Notamacropus eugenii: one gene and its partner. The main gene of each other region encodes a partner of the protein of the gene in region 2 in a complex. Links are inferred from orthologs where the notes say so. Each region holds a gene or a part of one and is shown on either strand. Other genes may lie near its edges. The genes, in order: EMC9 and EMC10.

Region 1 (8,371 bases), on a different chromosome or scaffold from region 2:
TGCAGCTACAGGTGCCCCGAATTGAGGATGGAAACAACTTTGGAGTAGCAGTCCAGGTGATGATACTGCCCCACCCTAAACACCTTACCTTGATCCTGCTTTGGAGCCATGCTTTATCTCATCTCTTTCCTACCTTTCTTTTCCTTAGGAGAAGGTATTTGAGCTGATGACTACACTTAGGACTAAGCTGGATGGCTTCCAAACCCAGATCTCAAAGTAAGTGATCCAGTCTCACATGTATATCTTGCCCCTGTCTTAGTGGTTTCTGGCTCAAATTCCAGCTCTTGCTTTCCACTCTCATTTTAGGTGCTGCCATTTTGGTTTCTTTTTTTTAAAGTCTTCTATATTCACCTCTCATAAGGAACATTACTTTCCCACCCACCCCATAACTTTTCTCATTCCTCATTAGGTACTTCTCTGAAAGGGGTGATGCAGTGGCTAAAGCAGCAAAGCAACCACATGTGGTGAGTGAGGAAGCAGGTCCAGAGTGGGCAGAGGCATAATTCAGAAGGAAGCCCCCAGGAAGGATAGGATGGGCATTAGATAAGGCCAGTATGAAGAACTAACCCTGAAGTCTCCACAGGGTGACTACCGACAACTGGTTCATGAACTGGATGAAGCACAGTATGGAGAGACAAGACTCATGGTCATGGAGATCCGAAATACTTATGTAAGGAACTAGACCCTGGAATTTGCTTGGTGGAAGAGCAGAGGCAAAGTTGGGAGGGTTGATATGGAGGCAAATAACATTAGCTTCAGGACAAATGACTCACGAGGTATACCCTGTGAGGGGTGGGAGAGAGGAAATGAAAATAAACTTCTAGTAAGATTGGGAAGCCATTAAAGAGCCTCTACTGAGAGCTCAGAATAACTTCCCCTCCCTTCTTACTTGGGTCCTACAGGCTGTGTTATATGATATCATCCTGAAGAACTTTGAGAAGATCAAGAAGCCCAGGGGGGACACAAAAGGAATGATCTACTGAAAAACGGAGCCTGCCTCCCTTCTCCATCACCCCTTAAGTAAGATTATCTGTCTTGCCACAGTTCAGCTTCCATTAGAACTTCCCCTCTTATCCATACCTTGCCTTCTGAACACCAATAAATTTGGTCACACCACTCCCCAGTCTTTTTATTTAAGGTTCTTGCCACTATGGACAAACTCAGGCACTCCCATTGGCAGCAGCAACCCACTGGGAAATTTCAGTATTGAGCTGTTGATTGGTCCAGTCACGACGGATGTCATCAAGGTGGGCATCAAAGTCAACAAGAAGCTGGTGGGCCCGGCCTTCAAGTAGTGCTCGAAGGAGCTGCCTTGACTCTTCCCAATCCCGCCACATTACCCTGAAATAAAACCCACCAAAAAGGAAACATTCAGTTTATCACAAAGACCTAGGACTAAAGACAGAGTTTAGGTCTAGGATGTCCCCAGGAGATGAAGTCTGGATTGAAGTTAATTTCTCTGCTGCCTTAGAACTCCAGGAAAAGGGGATTTGGAGGGAAGGAGTCCAGACTTAGAAGCAAAGGGTATGTAGCAAAGGAATAGAGGTACTTTACTCACAGGTTTTTGTCTTTGGGGACCCAGCGTCGATCACGAGTCTCCAAGACAATGATAGGGGGCACTCGAGGCTGGGGCACCATTTTCCGATTATCCAACTGAGAAATTGAGGTAAGGATTGTTGAGGATTCCAGGATTCCCTTTCTCCCTCCTTTTCTCCTCAACTCCCTCAGTCCTCAGACTTACCATGATGAGTACTGCACCAGGGAAAAATTCCGCAATTCGTCCAGCAATTTTCAGGGCAAGGGGACCAGGACTAGGAGGAAAAGAGGCATTAGAGGGTCCTGAGCAGCAGAGCCATCTACTTGCCTGTCCTTTAAAGCTAACAGGTGTCCTTCAACCCCTATCGAGGTGAGTTGAGATTAGCCCAGTCAGGAGGAAATTACTGGTTGGATTTAACCCTGGCAAACATTTACCTCAGAGCAGAGCTTAACCTGGAGTCCAAGCACCCTGCTGTAAACTTGGAAGAAAAAAAATACATTTTTATTTTCATTAAACGCTAACTGAAATTTAGCATTTCCTTCAATTAGGGGGCAACAAACCATTCTTCTGAGAAGGAGGTCCCGCATACAGAGAAATGCCCTGACACTTTCCAGCAGCCATCTCCCGCACTCACCTCTGGTCATTCAGCGAGGCATTGGCGTGGTAGTACCCAGCTACCACCAAACTGCCCTGCGCACCCCACACATCCACCTGTCACGAGAAAGGGCCCATTAGTTCCTATACAGATGGCACTGCCAGTGAACAGATGCCAAGGGGCACAGGGCCTGAGGCCAGGCCAAGGCCCAGAGGCGCGGAGTGGGGTGGGGGCCAAGGGGTACCTGGTTAAGGGCGACCTCCAGCATGACCGAAAGGGCCAGGTGGCTGTGGAAGAGAGGCACACAGTCACTGAGGCACAGGCAGCCCTCCGCCCGGGGCGCCGGGGCCAGCAGCAGCCCGTTGACAGCTGCGTGCGGGTAGCGGGCAGCGTGCAGGCACATCTTGACGTAGGCCCGGGCCGAGATCTCCACTTCTCCCATGGTCCGCGGGCTGTGGCCGGGGTCCAAACGGGGTCTCGGGGACCAGGAGCCAGCCCGGCCTGCGCCTGCCTGGCTGCCCCTTCCCTTCCTCCCGCGCCCCGCACGCACGCAGTCGGCCAGGACCTCCCTCGGCCACCGGGGCCCCGTCAGCGTCACCTCCCGCCGTCCAGATTGGGCCTGGGCCCGGCTCGGCCGATTCTGCTCCGGGCCCCCTCCCTCAGATGGAGCTGTCACGCTGCCTTCCCCCCCGCCCCCCAAGCTGTCCCCAATGGCCTCTCCCGAAGCGGAGAACACACCCCTCCCGCCCCTAAGGGGCGGCCGCTACGGCGAGCGTCCAGCCCCAGCCGAGCCGCAGCTCCTCCCGCTTCTCCGACTCCCCGACCAGTTTGGGGTGCCACCCAACTCCTGACGCAGGGTTGGTCCAATCGACTTTGATTCGTCCTATCACTGGGCGCACGTTCCTTGACCAGGTTCTGATTGGAAGACTTTGTCTTCGCCTTTTCATGGGTCCGCTCCTTTGCAGGAGCCGCTAGGATAACGTGTGCGCTGGGAGGGGATAGTTGATTCAGCCTCCTGAGGTCTGGCTGGGCGCTCCTTGCTGTCCATGTGCCTAGGCCCTTCCCTGCAGCACCAGTCAGGGAGAGGATTGGAGAGGGGCACCTGGAGCCGCCCAGCACTCCACCGAGACAGACCTCTCGCTTGTCCACGATCTCCTAGCTCTTTAAAACTACATTAGCCGCGTTGTGACTTGGAACCCCAGTTCTAGAAAGCACTGTGGAATTACGCAAATAAATGCCTATACCGTTCCGCTGCTGGGCATCTATCCCAAGGACTTTACTGATACTAAAATAGTTATAGCAGCACCTTTTGTGGTAGCAAAACAAAACAAAACCGTGGGAAAAAGTAGACATCTGTCCAGGGCAGACCTGGCTTCAGGCCTACCCCCACCTCTTCCCTACATCTCCCTTTTCAGCTTCTTTTCATGTCTTGTCTTTCCCCATTAGATTGTGGGCTCTTTGAAGGCAGGGTGCTTGGCATGGTGCCTGGCATAAAGCAGGCACTTAATACTTATTGACTGACTAATTAGGGGAAAGGAGAAACAAATTGTGATAAGTGAATGTAATGGAACATTGTTACATTGTAAAAAAAAAATACATGATCCCTGCCCCGCCCCCCAGCTCCACCCTGCAAAAGATCGAAGATGATAAAAACAGAGAATCGAGGAAAGACTTAAAAGAACTGACGCAAGGAGAGGTAAGCAGAGCCAGGAAAGAAATGCACAGTTATTGCAATGGGGTAAATGGAAAGGACAATAACTACAAAACAACAGAAAATGTTTCGAAAGTGTAAGGAACATGCCTGACCCCAAAGAAGCGATGTGAAAAGTTAACTCCTTTCTCTCCTTTGCAGAGGGTAGGAGTGGTCTAACATAACATAACAGATTTTTTCAGCTTGGTGATCAATTTACTGAGCTTTTTTATCTCTCTCTTTAAAAACAATCTTTCTTATAAGGGATGGTTTCTGGGAAGGAGGGAAAAGATTTACAGAGGGAAGTCGAGGCAATGTAAACATAAGTTACCTTAACATTTTTAAAAGAAAGCAAGAAATGAGTTCCCTTCATCCACCAAAATAAATGAGGCCCTCCAAAAACACATTAGCAAGATGACAAAATATGGGAATATTTTGGAGCTATTTCGAATAGACAGGCACACTAATATGCTGTTGGTGGAACTGTGAAGTGATTCAAACATTTGGGAAAGTGTTAGAAACCCGCAAGACACTAAAAGTAACAAGGAAAATTTATTGCAGCAGAGTTCAGAGGAATTGAACACTTTGGCCAAAGTGGGCCCCCACCCTCTTTTTCAGGAGGAGGGAGCACAGAGTACAGAAGTGAGATGAGCTAAATATCGTTAATTCAAGACAGATCCTCCCACCAGGAGATGGATTGGTCCATCCTCCATTAGGTCACCCTCTTCTCTACATGCCCATTGTAAAATACCCCCTTAGGGATTCTCCCTTCCAAACATGCTCTAACATAGGACCTATAATCAGAAAATGGAAGGATAATTTTATGCGTAGTGTATCTGCTTATATGCATGAGGTTCCTCAAGCAAGCACAGTAAAGAAAAGTCTTTTCTAGATATCTCTAGGTCATTTTTCTTGGCTAGTTCCAGCTAGCCAAGTTCCTTTATCAAAAACTTTGTAATTTTCTGAAGGTCACCGTCTGTCTTTTGATTGGTTAAGTCCATCTCTAGTCTGCTGGCTTTCTTATTATCTAACTTATTCTCAATGACTTCATGAATTTAACAATAGCTTATTGTGGAAACTTTTGCTGTCTCACAGAAAGCAATTTGGAATTATTTTAAGAAAGCAACTGATAGGTTCATATCTTTTTACACAAAGATACTACTCTACTATTCATCTACCTCCAAGGAGGTAAAAAAAAAAATAGGGGGAAAAAAGAGTCCAATGTACATCAAAATATTGATAGCAACACTTTTTGTAATAGGAAAAACAAAACAAAAAACTGAAAACAAAATAGGTGTCCATAAAGTTTGATACCAATATACAGTGACATAAGAAAAATGAATACGAAAAATACAGCAAGGCATAAGAAGACATATGAAGTGCTACCAAATTAATACAGGAATACAATTTGTACAATAATAACACCAATGCAAACAGAAAAGAAAAAATAAGGAAATGGCAAAGTATCAAACCTGGCCCCAAAAAGCTCAGAAAATATATTTCTGTCACTTCTTTGCAGGAAAGGATTCATGAAGGATATGGAACATTGCTGAAATCAGATAACATTTGTAAAGCACTTAGCACAGTCCTTGGCACATGGCAGTCATCATCATCATCATCATCATCATTTTTGATAAGATGGTTAGTTTTGCTGAACTTTTTTTTCTTTCTGTGATGGAGATGTGGCACATGTGCAGTGCCTCAGATGGTGTCTCTGTGTGGAAGACACTAGTGCATTGCTTTGGGGAGACTTGTGATGTATAAGAGAAATGCCTTAGAGAGACAAACTGTGGAATGTGTGATTTCATCGTTGGTGTTTAGTCAAGACCCCATTTGGGGTTTTGGAGTTTGAGGGGTTTTTTGCAAAGATACTGGAGTGGTTTGCCATTTCCCTCTCCAGCTCATTTTACAGATGAGGAAACTGAGGCAAACAGGGTTACATGACTTGCCCAGGGTCACACAGCTAGTCTGAGGTCAGATTTGAACTCAGATCCTTCTGATTCAAAGACCAGAAGTCTATTCACTTCATCACCTAGCTGCCCAAAGCATGTGTAGACATTCTGTAACTGGTTCTGATCAACCATGTGTTGAAGAGAAGGCTCTTAGGCTGCAGAGGCATTCAGCAAAATCTATTCATTTCAGCTATGACCTCTTTGCCTCATTTGCTTTTGAAGTCATCCCAGTGATTCCTGCCTGCCATCTGGTAAGGGGAGTAGAGTCTCTGAAACTGGGAATTTTCAAAGGTCCAAAGAGCAAGCCGCAGGAATCCAGGAGTTCAAGCCTAGGCTGAGTTTCCCAACCAGGACAGCATTATACCCCAGGGACTAAGGTGTGATCTTCAGGAGGGACCTTTGTGACTGTAGCTCAAAAGAATTCATCTAGCAGTTATGCCACATTTGGACATGAACTTGGAAGGATTGAGGCTGTGTAGTAATTGAGGTAAGCTTCAAGTCTATTCCCCTAGAGGCTGATGATAGCGTAGGAGAGGCATTAGGGGAAATGTATATTTGTTCTTGCGACATCTTTATTTCTTTGTAAATTCCTTTGTAAATGTTACCTACTGTTAAGTGGTTAAATGGGACTGAGGTTGCTAGTCACTGAACCCGATTAATAGGGAAAAAATAGTTGATTGGAGTTCCAGCTGGCAGTAGAGAAAAACCTACTTCAATCCACTTGGGTTACCTTGAGGAAAGATATAGTCCACCTGACCTTGAGAGATTGGGGCCAAAGCACACATGTTATGTTCTTTTTTTCCTTAGTATTATAAGGGTTGGCTCTCTGGGAAAAGGAAAGAGATATTGGGAAATTTAAAGTGATGTAAAGATCAATGATACCAATACAATTAAATACATACATATTAGCTTGTCCCCTAAGAGGAGACAAGAGAATCCATCCTCTCATTAGTAAGGTAGGGGACTGTGCATATAGAATGCTTCATGTGCTATTAGACCCTGCTGATACATCCATTGGTTTTATTAAACTATTCTTTTCTCTTAATTTTTGTTAGATTGTAAATCTCTTTACTGAATAGGAGGGTGGAGGGGGATACATTCGTAAATGTGGTGTTAAAAAAAGGCATCAACAAAGCTAATACAATTTCTACCCCGCTCATGTAGGCATTGTTAGCTACAAAACTATAGAGTGGTAACCTGGAGGACTGAAAAAACATGGTTTGGAGTTAGAGCATTTATTTGATCTTGGATTTGGAATTTGGATCCTGGCAGGGCTACCTAAGGACCTTTCAGCAAGTCACTGAATGTCTCTGGGTCTCAGTTTTCTCTTCTGTAAAATGAGATGTTTGGAGATGATCTCTACTGCTACTTCAGGCAGGTCACTTAAATTCTGTGGTTCTCATTCTCCACCTCTCTCAAGTGATGGGGTTGGAGTGGATCCTTTCTACTTATGTTTTTCCTCTAATTATTACAGCCTGCTGGGGGTCATACCCTTGGGAGAACAATAAAGAAAAGACTGGACAGGAAGGATATTTGAACATTTTTCAGAAATAGTCACTTGCCCAGAAAATGCTCTTCTGTGAAACCAAGGTGGCCCTTTCTGGAAGCTGGGGGGAGTGGAGGCAGAAGGGAGAGGCAATCTGGGTTGACTTGCCCAGGGTCACACAGCTAGTGTCTGAGGCTGAATTTGAACTCAGGTCCTCCTGACTCCAGGGCCATTTCTCTTTCAAGAATGCTCATGAAATGTAGGGGCTGTTCTAGAAGCTCCTGATGTGGTTTAATATGGTATTGTTATATTTTAGCTTTTGTCCTGATAGCCTGACAAAGTTACGGGTGTAAAAATAATTATAGTAAAAGTTATAGGTCCTATATAAACAGGCCAACTATGTATCTCAACATATTGTTTTTTTAATAACGAGAAAAGACACTGAAGTACAAGACACACTTCCTAACACTTAAAGCTGTCCCAAAATGGAGAGGACTGTCTTGGAAAGCAGTGGGTTTCTTCTCACTGGAGATTTTCAAGTATAGCCTGGAGAACTATTTAAATTTTTTAGATGACTTTTCAAGTATGTGGTATAGAGAGTTTCTGCTCAGCCATGGGAACATACAGTCCTTTCCAACCTGGACTCTAGGATACCTAATCTCCAATATGTGGGATGTGTAGGATCTGGACCAGGGTAGAAGCAATGCACTCCTATCATCCGCATGCTGAGGTCTGATGGAGGGATGTGAAAGCACCCATTGCAGTTTCCCAGAACTGCATGTGCTTCAAGGTGGGGAATCCCAGCCGTACAGCAGTGCGGTCATAGTGCCCCTGAGGCAGCATCTGATTCTTCTACTCCCACAGTTCCTCAGAATGGATACAATAAGCACAAAACAACCAGCTCAGTTTGTTAAAGGATTAAGATCATTTATTTGCTGTATGGCCCTGGGGCTCAGTACATGGATGGTTTCTCTTCACCCTTTGGATTGGTGATCTTCTCCAGGTTGTTGCTGATGATGTGATAGAGCTCAGCCTGGAAAAATGAGTCAAAGTGGTAGCTACAGCTCCCTCCCTGCCCTCCTTTGAACTCCTCCCTCCCTTGCCATCCTTT
Region 2 (9,353 bases):
GGTTGAAATGAGGGAAAACCTGGAGCTGTAGCCACTCTTACTGATGGCAGAGAAGAAAACTGGGGCCTGATGCCTCCAGAGGGAAGAAACAAGCAGAACCCAGGGCTGAACTCTTCCCAAAGAGGCCTGTCTGGAGCCTCCGACAAGGGAGGGGTTCGCTCTCCAGGGTTGACACCACAGATGAGGGAGAGGCCACATTTGTCCCACTTGCTCTCCTGGACTTCCTGCCAAGGCTGCTGGACTGGAAAGACCAGAACAAGCGGGAAGACAGAGAGTGGCTACCCAAGGGAAGCCTGGAGATGTAGCTCCAAGCCCCCAGCTGCCCATGAGGAGCTCACAAGAAGTGGAGTAAAAGTAGCCCTTGGGGACTGAAAGAAAGGGCACATGAGATGTCTATGAAGTACCAGAGGACTGGGAGAAGACCATGCACCACTGAAGTGACCTGGATTAAAAGGGTGACTGGTGAGCAACTAGAAAAAGGAGGAGCCATCCCAGAGAGCAGTGGACCTTCCTCAAGAGCAGGTCTCAGCCCCTAACCAGAGTTCCTTCTTTGAAGGTGTTACTAGACCAAAGATTTGCTGCATTTTAGCAAAGGAAAGTGTCTCATGCTCAGCTGGAAGGCTGCCTCTGCCATGAAGGATGCCCTTTCCTGGCCCTCCAGAACAGTGGACACCATCCTCGAGGTGACTCTGCACAGACTGTGTGGCTGCTCTGCATCGTGCTGGAGGATGTAAGATCCCCAAGAGCAGCAGCCGACACACAGACAAGAGGAGGCTCTTCCCTCCTCTGGCAGGGTGTGGAGGAGGAGGTACCCCATATGCGCCCCATCAAGGGCTGCTCTGATTGTTCTACAGAACACAATTGTTGAGGAGGAAGTGAGAAATGGGAGGCCCCCTCTTCCCCAGAGGGTCCTCCAGAAAGGAGGCATCAGCAGGGGTGAGGAGGAAGGGAATGCCCCAGGGAGATGGACCCACCCCACCCCCAGGCTCAGGCCCTCCTCTTCTGTCCAAGGAACAGAAAAAACTGAGACCCAAAGGGGGCTCAGGCAGAGGGAGGGAAGCCCCAGAGATGAGGAACAAGAAGGGGGTATGGTGGATGAGGTGAAGACCGAGGAGAGGCCCCAGAGGGCCCAGCGCAGAGCCCGCCCTCTGCCCTACCCAGGGCTGTCCTAAGTGCTCAGGGGAGTGGGGAAGGCACTCACATATTTGGCGAAGAAGGACTTCTGCTCCTGGGGGTTCTTGGCCTTCTGGGCTTGTTCCATCTCTAGACGCTCAATGAAGGCAGCTGTCTCTGGGCTGGAGAGAGCAGTGGGTGAGAACAGAAAAGCATGTCGGGGGCCCAGAGGAGAGGAGGGCAGGGAGGGAGGGGGGAGACAAGAGATAGACATGACCTGGGCCGGAGGAGGAAAGGGGGGCAGGGCCGGGCCCCTCACCCTGGGGGCCCCCAAGGAAGAAGGGGGGCAGGGCTGGGCCCCTCACCCTGGGGACCCCGAGAAGGGAGGCAGGGCTGGGCCCCTCACCCTGGGGGCCCCGAGAAGAGGGGCAGGGCTGGGCCCCTCACCCTGGGGGCTGTGAGGAGGAAGGGGGTGCAGGGCTGGGCCCCTCACCCTGGGGGCTGTGAGGAGGAAGGGGGTGCAGGGCTGGGCCCCTCACCCTGGGGGCCGTGAGGAGGAAGGGGGGCAGGGCTGGGCCGGGCCCCTCACCCTGGCGCCGTCAGAGGCGGCTGCAGCTGGACCGTGGTGTTGAACAGCTCTAGGTCCACATCCTCCACCTCGTGGCCCCGGCAGCCCCCGGGCTCCGTCACCACAGACAGGCCCACCACGTTGCCGGCCACGTCCACATGCAGGGTCAGCCGGTCGGAGAGGTGGGACTCGACCAGGGAGCACTGCAGGGGGCAGCATGATGAGACCAGGGAAGGAGGCTCTGGCTCCCTAAGGGGCAGAGGCGGGCCATGGTTGGGGGGGTGGGTCACAGGCAGAATGAGGCCAGCTCTGCCAGGCTCTAAGGTCAGTCACTTGGGGTGTGCTCCTGTAATCTGCTGGGACCCAGGTGCGGCCTCTGAAGCCACACCGGGAATTCCCTGGCCCGGGGAGGACCCCCAGGGGCTCCGGTCAGACTCACCGCAGGGACAAAGGAGGACACGTGGCCGGTGACTGCCAGCCCCTCGGCAGCCCCGGGCTTCCGGGGCACCCGGACTCGGTACAGACCGTTCAGAGCCGCCACGTCCTGGGGAGAGCGGAAAGAGAGGCCCCGGGCCGGCTTAGCACGCGGGCCTCCGGACTCTGCAGGGTCTGCCACCCACAGCCCGGCACCCCCTAGCCCCTCACCCACAGCCTGGCACCCCGCAGCCCAGCACCCCGCCTCCAGCCCCTCACCCGCAGCCTGGCACCCCGCAGCCCTGCACCCCGCCTCCAGCCCCTCACCCGCAGCCTGGCACCCCACAGCCTGGCACCCCGCAGCCCGGCACCCTGCCCCCAGCCCCTCACACGCAGCCTGGCACCCCACAGCCCTGCACCCCGCAGCCCGGCACCCCGCCTCCAGCCCCTCACCCGCAGCCTGGCACCCCGCAGCCTGGCACCCCGCAGCCCTGCACCCCGCCTCCAGCCCCTCACCCGCAGCCTGGCACCCCGCAGCCCGGCACCCTGTCCCCAGCCCCTCACACGCAGCCTGGCACCCCGCAGCCCGGCACCCCGCCTCCAGCCCCTCACCCGCAGCCTGGCACCCCGCAGCCCTGCACCCCGCCTCCAGCCCCTCACCCGCAGCCTGGCACCCCGCAGCCCTGCACCCCGCCTCCAGCCCCTCACCCGCAGCCTGGCACCCCGCAGCCCTGCACCCCGCCTCCAGCCCCTCACCCACAGCCTGGCACCCCGCAGCCCTGCACCCCGCCTCCAGCCCCTCACCCGCAGCCTGGCACCCCGCAGCCCGGCACCCCGCCTCCAGCCCCTCACACGCAGCCTGGCACCCCGCAGCCCTGCACCCCGCAGCCCTGCACCCCGCCTCCAGCCCCTCACCCGCAGCCCTGCACCCCGCAGCCCGGCACCCCGCCTCCAGCCCCTCACCCGCAGCCTGGCACCCCGCAGCCCTGCACCCCGCCTCCAGCCCCTCACCCGCAGCCGGCCCCGCTCATCCTCAGTCAGCTGGCGCTGGGTCAGGGCGATGGTCCCGTCCTGCACGTTCCATGTCAGGGAGCCCCGTTTCCGGAAGTGGACGCTGTCATCTGCAGAAAGGGGGGGCTCAGAGACCACAGTCCTCTCACCCCCGGCTGCCCCTCGCTGAGGCGCATCCCAGGAAGGGTCAAAAGCAGAAAGTCAGCGGGGGTTCCCCTGGGGGGCGGGGGATGTGGGTTTGGATGGGGGCTGCCCTTCAACCCAGAGGGGCCCTGGGGATGTCCAGGCCTCGGACTGCCCCACCCCGCCCCAAGGCCCCCGCCCCGCCCCACACCGAGCCCCGCCCCCCCCCGCCCCCAGGCCCCCCCGCCCCGCCCCCGCCCCGTGCCCCGCCCCGCACCGAGCACCTACCCGCCCCGCCCACACCGTGCCCCGCCCCCGCCCCGCCCACACCGAGCCCCGCCCCGTGCCCCGCCCCGAGCCCCTACCCGCCCCGCCCACACCGAGCCCCGCCCCGTGCCCCGCCCCCAGGCCCCCCCCCCGCCCCGTGCCCCGCCCCCAGGCCCCCGCCCCGCCCCCGCCCCGTGCCCCGCCCCGCCCCGCCCACACCGAGCCCCGCCCCCGCCCCGCCCACACCGAGCCCCGCCCCGTGCCCCGCTCCCAGCCCCCTCACCGGTCTCAAAGGAGTGCTCCAGCAGCAGCCCCGTGGGCGCGCAGCCCTCAGCCGCAGCCTGCGGGAAGGGAGGCCCGGGTCACGCACAGAACCCCAGCCCCATCTCGCGGTCACACACGCCCCGCCTCTGCCCCGCGGGGCCTCACCATCCCAAGAAGAAAGAAGGAGAAAGGCGGGGCGCCCCAGGCGATGTCTGAAGATCGGGGGTCGCGGGGGCAGCAGGACGGTGATCAGAGGGGGTGCTCCCCGGGGGACCCCTACTCCTGACGCTGGGGCGGGGTCCCGGGGCAGGGGGCTGCCCACCTGGGGTCAGTCTGCGCTGAGAGCGGAGCCCCCAAGACTGCACAGAGAATAAAGTAGGACCCAGAGCGCGGGGGGGGGCCCTCCCCTTCCCTGCCCCCCCGCAGTACTGACCCCCCGGGCTGGGGCCCGGCAGCCGCTCCCCCGGACCGCGCCCGGCGCAGCCAGAAACAGCAGCACCAGCCAGGGGGCCGCCATCGCCGCCCGGCCGCGCTCACGTGACCACGCGCGGCGCACTCTGGGAGAGGGCGGATGCAGCCTCTGCGCCTGCGCGCCTTTGCGGGCTCCGTCTTTCTTCTCCCTCCATGTGACGTCACGCTGCTAAATACGCCTAAAGCAAACCGTGCCCCACCTCCACCCGGCTCCCCAAGGCACGGAGGTACGCATGCGCATCGACTCCCACTCGAGCCTCGGTTTCTCGGCCATGTGTTTTGCGCGTGCGCGACTACTCTGCTCCGTGACCTCACAGAAACTGGGCCCCGCCCCCGTCTCCGTAGCAACCTGGTAGCGTTCGGGGAAAGACCCAGAGGGCCGAACTTGGTGCCGTGGGAGGAGAGCGCGCGCCCTCCTCCGCCTCTGCTGGGTAGACCCCAGCCACCCCCAGGGCCCCCGGCCCAGCCCGGAACCCCCTACCCCCCGAGGCTCGCGAGGACCGGAGCGGGGCGAGCATGAGGCGGCTGGAGCAGGGCGCCCCACGACGGGCAGGTGAGGGCGGGGCCGGGGCTGGAGGGGGCACCTGCGTGAAGCCGGGCTGGAGGCTGGAACAGGTGACCGCCCACCGCGGGGCCCGGGTGAGGGCGGGACCGGGGCTGGAGGGGGCACCTGCGTGAAGCCGGGCTGGAGGCTGGAGCAGGCGCCACCCCCACCCTCGCCCTCCCAGCACCCAGCAGGCGTGGTCCTGTTGCTTACTCCTCAGGGGCGAAGGCCGTCCCAAGGCCCCTGCAGTCCACCTACCCCAGGCCCGGTCGCCTCCAGCGCCACCTGTGCAGCGGGGAGTTCGACCAGCTTTGCGACTTCCCCATGTTTGAGAGCAACTTCGTCCAGGTGCCCGTCGGGCGGCAGCCCTTACCCCGCTGCGGCTGCCCCCCACCCCCAGCCTCCGCATCCCCTCCTGATCTCGGACCCAAACCTGGGAATCTTCCTTTCCCCCGCGAGCTTCTCAGGAACCCCACCCCTGCTCTGACCTCCGGCCTTCGGCCCCCAGGTTACTCGGTTCGGAGAGGTAGCCAACAAGGTGACCATGGGTGTGGCAGCCACCAGCCCAGCCCTGGAGCTGCCTGACATATTGCTGCTGGCCGGGCCTTCCCCCGGGAAGGGGGGCCTGCAACTGTTTGAGTGAGGACCCCCCAAAAAAAAACCCAAAACCCCTACCTGCTGGGCTCACCCAGACCCTCATGGGTACTTCCTTGGTATGCCCCCCCAGCTCCTGCTACCACCCTGCCCCACCTAGCCTCAGTGTCCCCATCTGTAAAATGCCTTGCCAAGTAGCTGTCGAGGCTCGGAGGAGGCTGCCAGCCTAGCTAAGTGTTGTAGTCAGGGCTTTGTCTTCTACCCTGTGAGGCCCTGCCCAGCGCTCAGCAGGCTAATCCATCTAACCCCTCCCCCAATGGCTGATCCTCAGGTACAGTGTGCATCCCCCACCCAAGTGTCTGTGCCTGATAGCAACCAAGTAGGTGCTCTCCAGGTATCAGAGTCCCTTCTAAAAGAAGCTGACTACTAGGTGGGGTTGTAGTGTGCAGAGCTTCGGGCCATGCATCGGGAACTCTCCCTGAGTTGAAATCCAACTTCCTACACCAGTTGTGAGACCCTGGGCAAGTCATTTCACCCTGTCTGCCTCAGTTTCCTCATCTGTAAAATGGGCTGGAGAAGGAAATGGAAAACCAGTCCAATATCTCTGCCAAGAAAACCCCCAGTAGGGTCCCGGAGAGTCAGACAGGATGAAATAACCGAACAGCCAAAGCCTTGGAGGAACTTCTACTGGGGGATGAGTCCAAGGGGGGAGATGGCCGACCAGTAGCCACGTACAACCAGAACAAGCTGGAACTGAGCATCCAGGGAACTTGGGAAAGGCTGCTTGTGGTGAGGGAGGGGAGGCAGACATCGGAGGTGCTGGAGAGGGAGCCCCCTCCACCCTGCAAGAGCATGCTTGGACCCGGGAAAAGGGGATTGAGCTAAAACTGGGAGGTCCTCAGAGTTCACCTAGGCCAACCCCATGCCTTTACAGATGGGGAAACTGGGGCCCAGGGAGGGGGTGACTCCACCAGTGCCACATAGGGAGTGTCCGAGTGTCTGAGGTGGATTTTGAAGCCAGGTTCTCTGGCTTGGGAGTGATGGTCTTCTCCACCTTCCCCATGGAAGGTGCCTCCTGCCTCCTGCCTCCCGCCCCCACTGAAGACAAGGCAAAGCTTTTCCCTGGCTCCTGCTGGCCACCTCTCCACATGAGGTACCCAGCAGGGCCAGGGCCCACACCTGCGGCCATCCCTCCTGCGCCAATGCCCTGGCTGATCTCCTCTCTGGGGGTCTGGGGACAGGCTGATTCCCCTGAAATTTGTGGAGTTGTTCATCCATGACGAGAAGCGGCAGCAGCTGAAGGTGAAGCTGTGGTCCGGCCGCACATTCTACCTGCAGCTTAGGGCTCCGGCCTCTGAAGACCAGGAGTTTGGCCGCTGGGTCCGGCTGCTCTACCGACTGCGCTTTGACTCCAGCACAAGGGTGCCCTTCACCCAGGCCCCCAGCCCCAAGGAAGAGGAGAGGGGGCCGTGACAAGACCGGAGAGGGTGAGGCTGGCCTGGGTCACAGGGAACCTGAGCACTCCTGGACCCCCAGAGCTTCACCCATTCTTCACTCTGTGTTTCCTAGTGAAGGCCCAGAGGACCGCCCCCTCCTCAATTCTGTGGAGACCCCAGATATGAGATGCTGCTGCCGCTGTTACTGCCACCTCCCACACCCCAGACCCAGGGCTCCAGGCCCAGTACTCCCCGAGGTGCAGAGCCTCCAATCTTGCCTTCACCTCCACCCTGCAGGGGGGGGGGAGGTCAGGACACACATACACCACCCTTCCTTCCTCCCTGGGACACCAGAAGGCCAGAGAGAGACCTCTTCCCTGGACAGAGGCACAGAATACCAAGTCTAATAAAGATTCCGTATGTCAGAACTGGCTGTGCACACACTCCCCTTCATTCATTAATTCATCCATCCGTCCTTTCATCCATCCATCCATCCATCCACAAAGCAGACACCAGCCATGGAAGTCTGGAATTTCTCCTTCCTTCCTTCCTCCTTCCCTCTCCTCGCTTCATTTACCCACCCATCCATCCCTCCATCTACCCATCCATCCATCCATCCATCCATCCACCCACCTAGCCACCCATTCACATAGCAGACTTCAGCTATGGAAGTCCTAAATTCCTCCTTTCCTTCCTTCCCTCCCTTCCTCCATCCATCCATCCATCCATCCACCCATCCATCCATCCATCCATCCATCCATCCATCCATCCATCCATGCAGGAGGCACTGACAACAGGAGCCACAGAGTCAGTGAGTTTCATGTTTGACATGAACAATCAGTAGGAGGGAGAGGTGTCACCATGGAGTGGGTCCAGGGGCAGGTTCATCAGGGTCTCAGCAAAGACTGGGTGGGGCAGGAGGGACATCGACTGCCCTCAGGAAGGATTACTGTGGCACTGGAGAAGAGGAAAGCCCTGTGAGCATCATTATCCCCAATTTTCAGATGCTGAAACTGAGTCCCAGTGAGGGGGATGAGCTGCCAGGCCCCTGGTATAGCTCTCCCTTCCTTCCAAATTGACTTTCCCTCTGTCTCAACCTCTGTGGTGTGCTGCCATGGGTGTCACATCTCATCTCTGGGTCTCTGCTTCATCATTTTTAAATACAGGCAGGCCCCTTACAGCTCTAAACCTGAGATCTTGGCTCTGTTGTCCCAGCTGACTCCTGTGGCCCCTGGCTCCAGTCACTTGTCTCTGGTTAGTAGCTGTCCCCCATCAGAGTGATTACTGTGACCATTCCCCCTCCTCCACATGGTTACTGCCCTTAGACTGAGACATTCTTGGCTTGGTTTCACACCATCTGCCCCCATCTATAAAGGAACTGATCTGAAGGTGACCAGTCCCAGATCAAGCAGGCACCTTTGAGTCCTTTTTGCCACTAAGGAAACAGGTCCAGAGAGAGGAAGTGGTCAAAAGAGCATTAATTTGGCTCATAGACAAGAGATTTGGGTTAGAATCCAAACTGCCGAGAACCTACAGCAAGGAGTCACTCCCCAGCCTCAGTTCTCCTACCTGTGAGAAGGGAAGCCCACCTTTCAAGGTCCTTAGAGCACTATCAGAATATGTGGGACTATTACCAATTAGAACTAGCATTTCTAGAGCACAAGGTGCAAAGCACAATTGTCTCCCTCTCACCCCTGAGAGGTAGGGGCTGCTATTATCCCCCTTTTACAGATGAGGAAACTGGGGCAGTGGTTAAGTGACTTGCCCAGTTAAGTGTCTGAGACTGAATTTGAACCCAGGTTCTCCAGCCCCATGGTGTCATCTGGCTGCCTCTCAAAAAGGACAGAGCTGGAAAGGCCCCTAGAGCTGACCTGGTCCAGCCCTCACCCCATTTACAGAGAAAACAAAGAGGTGTTCAAGGAGCTGTCAAAAACCACACAGCTAGTCATTGATGCAGCCAGAATTTGAAGCCAGATATCTTGGCTCCAGATCTTTCCTGAGTGCCTTTCTGGGGACGCTTTGCTAGCCACAGGACTGCAGGCTGAACAGGAAATCCGCCAGATGTGGACCTCCAGCCGGCCAGCCCAAGGCAGTTCCTCCCACATCCTCACCTCGGACCTCCAGCTTGCATTCAGCCAGTGCCTCGCCCAACTCATTGACCGCTCTGCAGGAGTAGGTTCCCCCATCAAAGGGACTTGGACGCCGGATGCTAAGGGTCAGGACCCCCTGCTGGTTGGTCATTATGAACTTGGGGTCTTCATGAATCTCCATTTTGTTCTTCATCCAGATCACCTTCGGCTGTGGAGAGAGGGAACAGGGGAATGGATCCCTGGAGTGTGAGCGATCACACAACCCCCCCTCTACAAATGGGGAAACTGAGGCCCTCAGAAGAGATCACTCAATTCTGGGGCCTTGAATTCATGTTCCTGACTTTGTCTGTGCCCAAGGAAACCCTCCTCTCCCCAGCTGCTGCTGCTTCCCTAGCCCCAAGCGCCCACCTTGGGACACCCCCGAACAGCACAGCAGAGGGCCGCTGAGTATCCTGCCA

What was found.
Region 1: EMC10 (region 2) and EMC9 share a complex: the UniProt entries of both Homo sapiens proteins name them as parts of the ER membrane protein complex. The link is inferred for Notamacropus eugenii from reciprocal best matches to the Homo sapiens genes EMC10 and EMC9.

Annotation. Positions count from the first base shown.
Region 1 is NC_092878.1:9,142,343-9,150,713, reverse strand, and holds EMC9 (ER membrane protein complex subunit 9), read right to left. Parts: upstream 2,861-8,371; 5' UTR 2,575-2,860; coding exon 2,377-2,574; intron 2,249-2,376; coding exon 2,172-2,248; intron 1,812-2,171; coding exon 1,742-1,811; intron 1,654-1,741; coding exon 1,559-1,653; intron 1,342-1,558; coding exon 1,161-1,341; 3' UTR 1,104-1,160; downstream 1-1,103. Other genes in the region: PSME1 (proteasome activator complex subunit 1), read left to right, coding at 1-56, 149-216, 410-464, 584-670, 903-983; PSME2 (proteasome activator complex subunit 2), read right to left, coding at 8,213-8,293. UniProt on the Homo sapiens protein: Part of the endoplasmic reticulum membrane protein complex (EMC) that enables the energy-independent insertion into endoplasmic reticulum membranes of newly synthesized membrane proteins.
Region 2 is NC_092876.1:5,128,216-5,137,568, forward strand, and holds the start of EMC10 (ER membrane protein complex subunit 10), read right to left. Parts: upstream 4,314-9,353; 5' UTR 4,278-4,313; coding exon 4,194-4,277; intron 4,033-4,193; exon of another isoform or gene 3,929-4,032; coding exon of another isoform or gene 3,926-3,928; intron 3,838-3,925; coding exon 3,780-3,837; intron 3,217-3,779; coding exon 3,107-3,216; intron 2,226-3,106; coding exon 2,121-2,225; intron 1,931-2,120; exon of another isoform or gene 1,885-1,930; coding exon 1,703-1,884; intron 1,296-1,702; coding exon 1,202-1,295; intron 242-1,201; coding exon 42-241; intron 1-41. Other genes in the region: GARIN5A (Golgi-associated RAB2 interactor protein 5A), read left to right, coding at 4,748-4,784, 4,996-5,123, 5,284-5,414, 6,708-7,212; MYBPC2 (myosin-binding protein C, fast-type), read right to left, coding at 8,828-9,103, 9,304-9,353. UniProt on the Homo sapiens protein: Part of the endoplasmic reticulum membrane protein complex (EMC) that enables the energy-independent insertion into endoplasmic reticulum membranes of newly synthesized membrane proteins.